Regions from separate parts of the Mus musculus genome. Here region 1 is reported to be linked to region 2. Evidence: microRNA targets listed by miRTarBase, many of them from high-throughput screens and not tested one by one. Region 2 holds a microRNA gene; the other region holds the end of a gene's coding sequence.

Region 1 (4,396 bases), not on the chromosome of region 2:
TAAATTGCCCCATTGTCAAATTAAAAAAATGCAGGCAGAAGAGATTAAAGTAACATTCTGAGTGGCTCAGAAATAGCACTAAGGTCATTGATAATTGGCATTGGAAGTATATGTAAAAGGAATACAAGCAAATGGAGAGTGTCTATCAGGAAAAGGTGGTCTTCTTAGCAAAACTAATCAAACTCTTGTGGTGGTATTGTAGCTGATGGTTTCAAAACTCATTTTCAGCCTCTATTTTCTAGAAAACAATTACTTATGTGATTAGGATCATTCCTGTTGAGCCCCAAATTGGTGGATTCCATGTTAAATTTGACATTGAAGCAACTGTATCAAATAGTGGCTCTTACTAATGCTATGACTGTTGTTCATGTGACAACTCTCCCTCTCATGCCTACAATGTTCCTTTTGACAAATCCACTTACATGACTTATGAACAAATTAAGATTCATGTGCTCACACCAACTGAGTTCAAAGTTAAACTCAGAAGAATGAAATGAATGAAAATAGCGATAAATAAAGAGAAACGGATGGGGGAAAGATGGCAGTGATTATGGACAAAGTCTATGGAGGCTCCACTTGTAAAGGACTTTCATTTTCATTACCATTTATTTCTGTAATGTTTGTTTAATGATATGGAAGAATTGCTCATTTTTATATGTGAAGTGGCATTGTGGTTATTTTTTAAAGTTCTTATTCCTAATGAGATACTCATAGATTAAGGGACAGGGTACCAGGGAGTTTCTAAATCTTACAGGTTGGGAGGAGGTGTGTAGAAATGGAGCAAGTAATACTGATTAGGAGTTGATATCCAAGGAGTCACCAGTTGACACCTTTTACAACTGCATGAATTTTTGTACACATTTGTACCTTTTATAATGACAGCTACATGAGAGTGGGGAGAGAGACACTTAGGAAAATAGGAGTTTACATACTCCAAGTGTAAACAAATTTCAGTGCCAGTTCCATGTTCTTCAAAATTTAGTGAATGCAACGCTACCTGTGACGGTATTTGCATACATGCACCAGGCTTATGCTTGTTTATTTGTTTATTTATTTATTTAAAATTATGTACATGTACCACTGTACTATTATGCCATTATAAAACATACACAAACATAAAAAAACTAGATAAAAATAAACACAAGTATCATTCTAGTATGTTCTTCCTATACTCTAATGGACATGAACTCCAGTTAGGAGCCCCATGCTTAATGAAGGTGAGGGGGCCTTTTGAGATTTTTGAATAGTAAAGACTTGCTTTAGGAGAACAGAAACTTACTGGAGTAGTCACAGGAAATTAGAGATTGGCTAGAAAGACCCAGAGCTATTTCCCTGAGGCTTCTCAAAGAACCACAATGGAGTAGGAAGTTGTTCTAGCTAGATTTGCAATTTGAAAACAGACCATCATTTCCCTGTATGCTTCTTTTCAGAGTATGCACTACACACAAATGTGTTCTGCACACAATCAGGATACAGTATGCATCGAAAACAAACATCCTCCACACAGTATCTTGGGCAATATGTTTAACACAACAATTATGATAATTATAATATCTAACATTGAATACTTATTCTCCATCAGATATTGTGGTAAGAACTTTACAATACACAATTTTACTTAAAACTTGTGAAAACCCTATGGAAATAGATCTCATGATTGAAGTCCATTTCACAATAAGGAAATCAAGACTGAAAAAGAAAAGATAGCTTTCCCAAGATGAAAGGGCTAGGGAATGGCAGGACCAAAATTTAAATCAAGATGTTTCTGATCCCAAGCCCCACATTTCATAACTAGTAAACCATAATGCCTCCAGAAGGAACTAATGATAGTGTCCAAACCAAGAGATCATAGACATGATTAAATGAGATAATACATGTGATAATAATGTTTAGCACATTGTCTGACACAGAGCACACATCCTATTATTGTTTGTATTATAGTACACAGAATATTTGCTAAGATTTTCCACAGTAAACACCACTAATGTCTCTCAACAGCAAAACACCAAATATTTAGAATTGTAATGAAATAATGTTTTATTATTTAATCAAACATTATTTATAACAACGTATATCTGAACTCCTTTCATTGGTTACAATCTGTAAATCTGTGGTGTTGCATTTGCTGAGTCTCTGTGGAATGAATGGCTGACCAGAGAGAAATAGCAACTGTAGACCTTGCTAGGTCTCCTGCATGGCAGGCTACAAAATGGGAAATATTGATTCTTGCTATACTACTCTTATTCTAAGCCATTTACAGAAATAGGAATTGGGGAGCTTGACTACAGAGTGATCCAGAAACTACATATGTACATATCAATTTAACTTATGATTGAAGAGTTTGCCTTCTTTTGTTTTGACCCAAAGATATAATTTGAGTGATGACAGTTCAGAACACACCTTTGTATTCCCTTAGTTTCACTTAAAATAGTCAAATTTGCCATGTTTCTGTCAGATTTTGTATTTCTATCTGCCAAATGAAGTACTCATTAGGTAAATACTACCTTTTGAATCATGGTTTCAATTATGAGAGTAGTCATCTCTACTTGATTTTCTGGAACACTCTAGATTTGAAATTTTGTCCCAGTAGTAGGCTGTCTTTCCACGTTTTGTTGCTAGCCATGCTCCTGTCAGAGAGGGGCAACAGGAAGCCCTTCATGGAGCTGAGGACTAAGAGTTGAAGGCTGAGCTGTGCTTCCCAGGTGCTGGGGTGCGCTCTGATTTACATTGCTGGGTCTGCACTTTTTGTGCTCATTAAATCTGCTTTTGTGTAATTCTACAAACACTTTACTAGGTGTTCTTGAAAGGAAATAGTAAGCTTCATGGTTGAGTTGGAAGGAAATAATGCCTTCGGTTTATGTATTTTGACATTGAGTCAAAGCAGATCTCTCTTTTCATCAAACAATTTAATTTTGGCATTACTAATTCCATTTATTTTATGTAATTAGACAACCTATACCTTTAGTTATTGCCTAGGATCCTGCCCATAATTTCCCCTGTTCTTTTATTTGGGGGAACTTTTTAAGTCTAGAAATACTATAAAAAGCATTTATGCTGACACAATGGAATCTGCCCACCCCTGCCAATCTGTAGCCCAAATAGCATAAACCAAAATTGAATATGTGGGGATTCTTGGAAGAAAGCATCCAATAACAAAACACTATGAGCAAAAAGTTAATTTATTATATATTTTCTAGTAATTCATATTAGCTTCTTGAATTTTAAATATATTTTTGCTACTTCCAATGTTTAAAAATTATGATTTTAAAACACGGGAACTATTTTATATACATTTTGATTTCTTTTCTATTCTGTTTCTTTTGGCTTTTCTTCTAAATATGAATGATAGGGTCTCCAAGTATCCATTTGGAAGGAAAGGGGATAGGATTCATTGTTTTCCTCTAACAATGTAGAATTTAAAATTTCATATCATATGCTTAGAGTTTTGACTACATGAAAAATAGTCAAATGTCATCATTTTCTCATATATTCCTTCTACATGTATATTTGTATAATATAAACAGAATATATCTGATTGAGACTTTTCAACATTTCATCAATGTAACTTCTATCTCCTATTTTATATAAAAGAACAAAATATACAGAGAGAAGAAAGGAGACATCTGTTCATTGTACACAGAAAGTAAAGAAAAGTTCATGTATGGCTTTGCAAAGATAGATTATGATGTGACTTCCATATTTATTTATTTAAAAGCATCTTGAGAGAACGTGTTAGTGTGCTTACAAGAGCGGCCATGGTGGTTGAATGTCGCATCGATAGTCCAATATTAGGATCCCCAGTGGTCTTGCCAGTGGCTGCCTCAGCAGCTTTCAGGAGACAAATATAGTTTATGACCACTTCATCAATCTTTGCTACAATTTCTTGCCGCTGTGTTTCAGTGTTCACGACTTTCACTAACCGCATGCAAGCTTCTGTTAGGCAACAGAGCACTTGAAAACTGGAACTCATAGCTAGGAGCATCTCTTCTGGGCTTTTCTCGGCCATTGCCATTTTCCTACAGGCACTTCCCAACTGTCTGGACTCAATGGATAACAGTTGCTTGTACTGAGAAAGTGTAAGGTCATATGTTTCAGGGCGTGACTCCTCCTTCCTTGCCTTGGTTGCCCTCACAAGGCAGAGCAGCTCATTGGCATCATTTTGGGCTTCGAGAAACCCATCGGGCATTCCATATGTGTTTGCCTTTAGGGCATTTATTCTTGCAATCCGGGCATCAAAAGCCAGACTGCTGAAGTCCAAGTCATCTGGGCCATCTGGGTCTTCTGTCCAGACCTTCAGAGCTGTCCCTCTGGACAGTTCTTCCCCTTGCTTCTGCAGTCCAACAACCAGGGATGAGTTACCTGGTTCCGACATGGCTTGGGTTATCTGTGGTCGATA
Region 2 (4,396 bases):
GTGGACAAAAGAGGGAGGCAGCACAGGAGTGGGGCCACCCAGGCCCGGCCTCTCCCACGCCACCCAGGCCCGGCCTCTCCCACGCCACCCAGGCCCGGCCTCTCCCACGCCACCCAGGCCCTGCACCCACCTGGTGATGTCATACACCAGCAGGGCTCCAGCTGCCCCTCGGTAATAACTCCGCGTCACCGACCTGTGAGGCCAGGGGGACCCAGTCACCCCCAAGGCTGGGATCTGCCCCAGGACTGCCCCCCTCTGTGGAGAGAGGCTACTGGTTCGGAGGCCCCCTTTACTGTTGGCCCATTCCCTAGAGCCTGACCTCCATCTTCTTGAGATACAGTTTCTCGGCCTCAGAGTCTTTCTCAATTAGTATTATTCAGGTTGGCTTTTTGAGAGTCTCACTCTATAGTCCAAGCTGGCCTCAGGTTCCCTGCCTCCGCCACCATACCCGTAGGTTCTTGGGATTGGAGCCAAGGGCCTGGCACATGTTAGGTAAGTGCTCTACACAGAGCTACACCCTGACCCTTCATTTTAGTTTAATTCAAGGTCATGCTATCTCACCCAGGCTGACTCCCATCCAACATATCCTAGGCAAGCTGGCACGTTGTTTCTTTTATGTAGGTGGGTGTCCGTGTTCCATCGCGCATTGTGAAGGTCAGAGGACTCTTACAGCAATTGCTTCTCTCCTTTCACCACATGGGTTCAGGAGCTCAAACTTAGGTCCTCGGGATGGCAGTGCTCACTTTGGCCTTCCCTCTTTCATTCATTCACTCAGGGAGCATTTTCTGATTATCTCCCATCTGCCTGTCCTGACCAAGTGCTATACAACCTCTACTTGTCCCTCCCTGATGTCTGAGGCAGGCCAACTCCCTTTGTCACCAATCTTGAGGGATGCGTACAGTTACTGTGAATGTAGGCCTTGTCACATGCCTGTCTTCTCCTTCACCCTCTCTCTGTCTCTGGGTTCTCCATACCTCACATAATCTCAATCTACACATAACTTAATTAAAAGCTGCTGATATGCTGAGACTAGATTCTCCAGGAGCTGAATATGCCCACCCCCTCCCCTGCCCCACCCCCCATCTGCCTGCCCTGCTCAGCATCTCTTTGCTCTTACTTCATCATTACCTTCTTACTACACACCTTTCTTCCCCTTCCTCCCTCTCCCCTCCTTGGGAACCCAGGCTACCTACCGAAACCGCTCCTGGCCAGCAGTGTCCCAAATCTGTAGTTTCACAGTCTTCCCCCCAACGTTGACCACCCTGGATCCAAACTCCACGCCGATAGTGTGGTTGGAGTCCTGTTTGACTGAGAGTAGGAGGGAAACGGGGTGGGGGGGCAGTGCAGGGGCTCCTGGAATCCCCCCCATCCTGCAGACCTCTTCCTCCTTTTCTGTACCCCAATTCTCACTGCTGGGTTGGCAGAGAACTTAGCAAAGACCATCCACCAAAGCTAGAGGCAAGCCTATAGTACTAGCTTTAGTCAATGGTACCTGCTACCTACCCCACCTGCTGCCCCACTGACCCACACCATGACCACATCCGCAGTTCCAGGGTCCTGCCAGAAACTCACACTTATTCTCAATAAACTGGTGGAGAAGACATGATTTGCCAGTTCCAGCACTGCCAATCACCAGGAATTTGAAGAGGAAGTCTGAGCAGATGGTGCCGAAGATATCCAGAGGGAGAGAAAGACAAAGGGAATAAGAGAAGAAACAGAAAGTCAGAAGGAAAAGTATACACAAAAGTATAAATACAAAAAAGTATACTTTTGGGCTGGTGAGATGGCTCAGCAAGTAAGAGCACTAACTGTTCTTCCAGAGGTCCTGAGTTCAAATCCCAGCAACCACATGGTGGCTCACAACCATCTGTAATGAGATCTGATGCCCTCTTCTGGTGTGTCTGAAGACAGCTAGAGTGTACTTATGTATAATAATAAAAAAGTATACTTTTACACAAAAGTATAAATACAGCATGCATTTAAAAAAAGAAAAGAAAGAAAGAAAAGAAAACAGGAAAACTTAAAAAAAGAAAAAAATCCAGAAGTCTGCAGGGCTGTTGATAGAACTTGGGAAATCCTGCATGCTAGCCAACCTAGCCCAAGATGATTTTTTTTTTTTTTTTTTTTTTTTTTTTGAGACAGGGTTTCTCTGTATAGCCCTGGCTGTCCTGGAACTCACTTTGTAGACTAGGCTGGCCTGAAACTCAAAGATTCCCCTGCCTCTTCTGCCCTCCTGGGCGCTGGGATTAAAGGTGTGCACCACTACTGGGCTCAAGAGGACTCTTTTTTCTTTTTTCATTATTATTACTGATATTCGAAACAAAGCTTCACTATGTATTCCAGACTAACCTCGCTGTCCTCAAACTCCAAGCACTCCTCCTACCTCAGCCTCTAAAAGACTGTGCTGCCATCCTCTACTTTCTTCCTTCCTTCCTGTCTGTCTGTCTGTCTGTCTGTCTTTTTCCTACTCAGGGACTCACTATCTGGTCTTGAACTGCAATCCTGCTGCCCCAGCCTACCCACTGCTGTCTGTCTGTCTGTCTGTCTTTTTCCTACTCAGGGACTCACTATCTGGTCTTGAACTGCAATCCTGCTGCCCCAGCCTACCCACTGCTGGAAGTGCCAGCACACTGCACTTTTCTTTCTTTCTCTTTTTCTTATTTTAAGAGTATTACTTTGGCCAGGCAGTGGTGGCGCACGCCTTTAATCCCAGCACTTGGGAGGCAGAGGCAGGTGGATTTCTGAGTTCGAGGTCAGCCTGGTCTACAGAGTGAATTCCAAGACAGCCAGGACTGCACAGAGAAACCCTGTCTTAAAAAAAAAAAGAAAGAAAGAAAGAAAGAAAAGAAAAAGAGTATTACTCTGTAGTCCAGGCTGACCTCTAACTTGAAGCAGTCTTCCTGCCTCGGTTTCCCAAATGAGAGGGTTATAGCACACAAAATTATTTTTATATAGTGTTTACCATATACATGCCCATCACAGTCCTAAAGACTCATTTAATCATAAATAAAGCTCTAAAGATAAAATTATACAGCTCAAGAGATGGCTCAGCAGTTGAGAGCAATGACTGCTCTTCCAGAGGTCCTGAATTCAATTCCCAGCAACCTCATGGTGGCTTACAACCATCTATAATGGGATCCAATGCCCTCTTCTGGTGGCTCTGAATACGGCTACAATGTACTCATATACATTAAATAAATATTTAAAAAGGAAAGAAGGAAGTATACTAAGGACTTCTACTTTCCAGACTAGGAAAATGAGGCCAGAGAGGTTAACTGACGAAAGCAAGACTACACAGCTAGGCACAGCTAAGCTACAAACCCAAACTAAAGGTCTCCACAATGCAAGACCTTACCTGATGCATTTCAAAAGCCATTTCAACAAGAATTAAATCTGACCTCCATTCCTCTTCACTTCACCTCCTACCCCCTCTCACTCATTCACTCTGTCAAGGCCTCTGACGTTGGGCCTATGTCCTAAACTGGTTACCTCCTCTGGTAAGTGTGCACCAGATTCTGTGGCTTTTCTATGAGTGTTCAATGAATGGAGCTGTCTCTGATTGTCGTCAGAGATTTCTACTGCCTTCCAACCTACCTCTACCCACCTGACACTGTACATCCATACTGATTGCCTAACTCTGAACCTTGTCTCCCCATCCTCTGTCCAGAACCCCTGGCCTCTATCCTTAAACTTATGCCGCATTTCTTGACGCTAAGTTTCAAATCTATAACTCAAGAACATCACTCCAGCCCTCTCAAACCAGATCAGCCCACAGAGTGTGCAGGGTGCACAGCATCTGTGAGGCTCTCTCTGTAGTCCATAAAACCTGACCCTTGCTGGTCACCGTCAGCCCCGCCCTATCCACTCATGCTCCGCCCAGGAAGGCTTGCTTCCCTCTTCAAGGCCTACCCCCTACCCTAATCTACCAAGACTAGGTCCCTTAAATCCCGCCCTAGATCTTTTTAACCCGTACAGCGGCCTCTTCAAGCTCCACCCAAATCGATTAGCTCAGCCCCAGACCCACTTAGCCCTGCCCCGTATCCGGGCAGACCCCGCCCACCTGACCAGAAAGCCCCGCCCCACTTCCACATCCACATCCACTACGGGCCCAGCCCCCCCTGCTTCGGCCCATCAGCCTCACCGTAGGTCTCGGCCATGGCTCAGTGGCGACCGCTGAGGGCCGCAATATGGCGCCGCAGCCGCGCCTGTTCCTCGGCTGGCAGCCGCTCCACTCGGGCTGCAGCCTCAGCTCCTTTCCACTTCTGGACCCGGCGCCGCCACTTCCGCCTTCACCGCCCCCCCCCCTCCCGCGCGAGCCTCCGGAGCTGCGGATACCAGGCCACGCTCGCCCAACGCAGTGATTGGTGGATTCAGGAGGCAGTGGGCGGGATAAGCG

The links. Region 2 holds the annotated microRNA mmu-miR-3101-5p (GGUACCAUUGACUAAAGCUAG, at 1,473-1,493, opposite strand). A microRNA usually pairs through its seed, bases 2 to 8, with sites in the 3' UTR of a target mRNA and lowers its output. Matches are read on the target gene's strand: a 7mer-m8 pairs with bases 2 to 8, a 7mer-A1 pairs with bases 2 to 7 and ends in A, and an 8mer does both.
Region 1: miRTarBase lists Frmpd4 as a target of mmu-miR-3101-5p. Seed matches in the 3' UTR shown: 7mer-A1 at 1,074-1,080.

Annotation. Positions count from the first base shown.
Region 1 is chrX:167,470,273-167,474,668 of GRCm38, forward strand. It overlaps Frmpd4 (FERM and PDZ domain containing 4), which reads right to left. Exons shown (of 17, transcript NM_001368936.1): 17 at 1,035-4,396. The coding sequence ends at 3,701. Among named protein-coding and RNA genes, the nearest start is that of Prps2, 90 kb to the left of the region's middle.
Region 2 is chr7:27,174,586-27,178,981 of GRCm38, forward strand. It overlaps Mir3101 (microRNA 3101), which reads right to left and starts at 1,508; the gene lies at 1,421-1,508. Rab4b (RAB4B, member RAS oncogene family) reads right to left here and starts at 4,298. Exons shown (of 8, transcript NM_029391.2): 1 at 4,142-4,298; 2 at 1,573-1,653; 3 at 1,194-1,308; 4 at 131-193. The coding sequence starts at 4,157.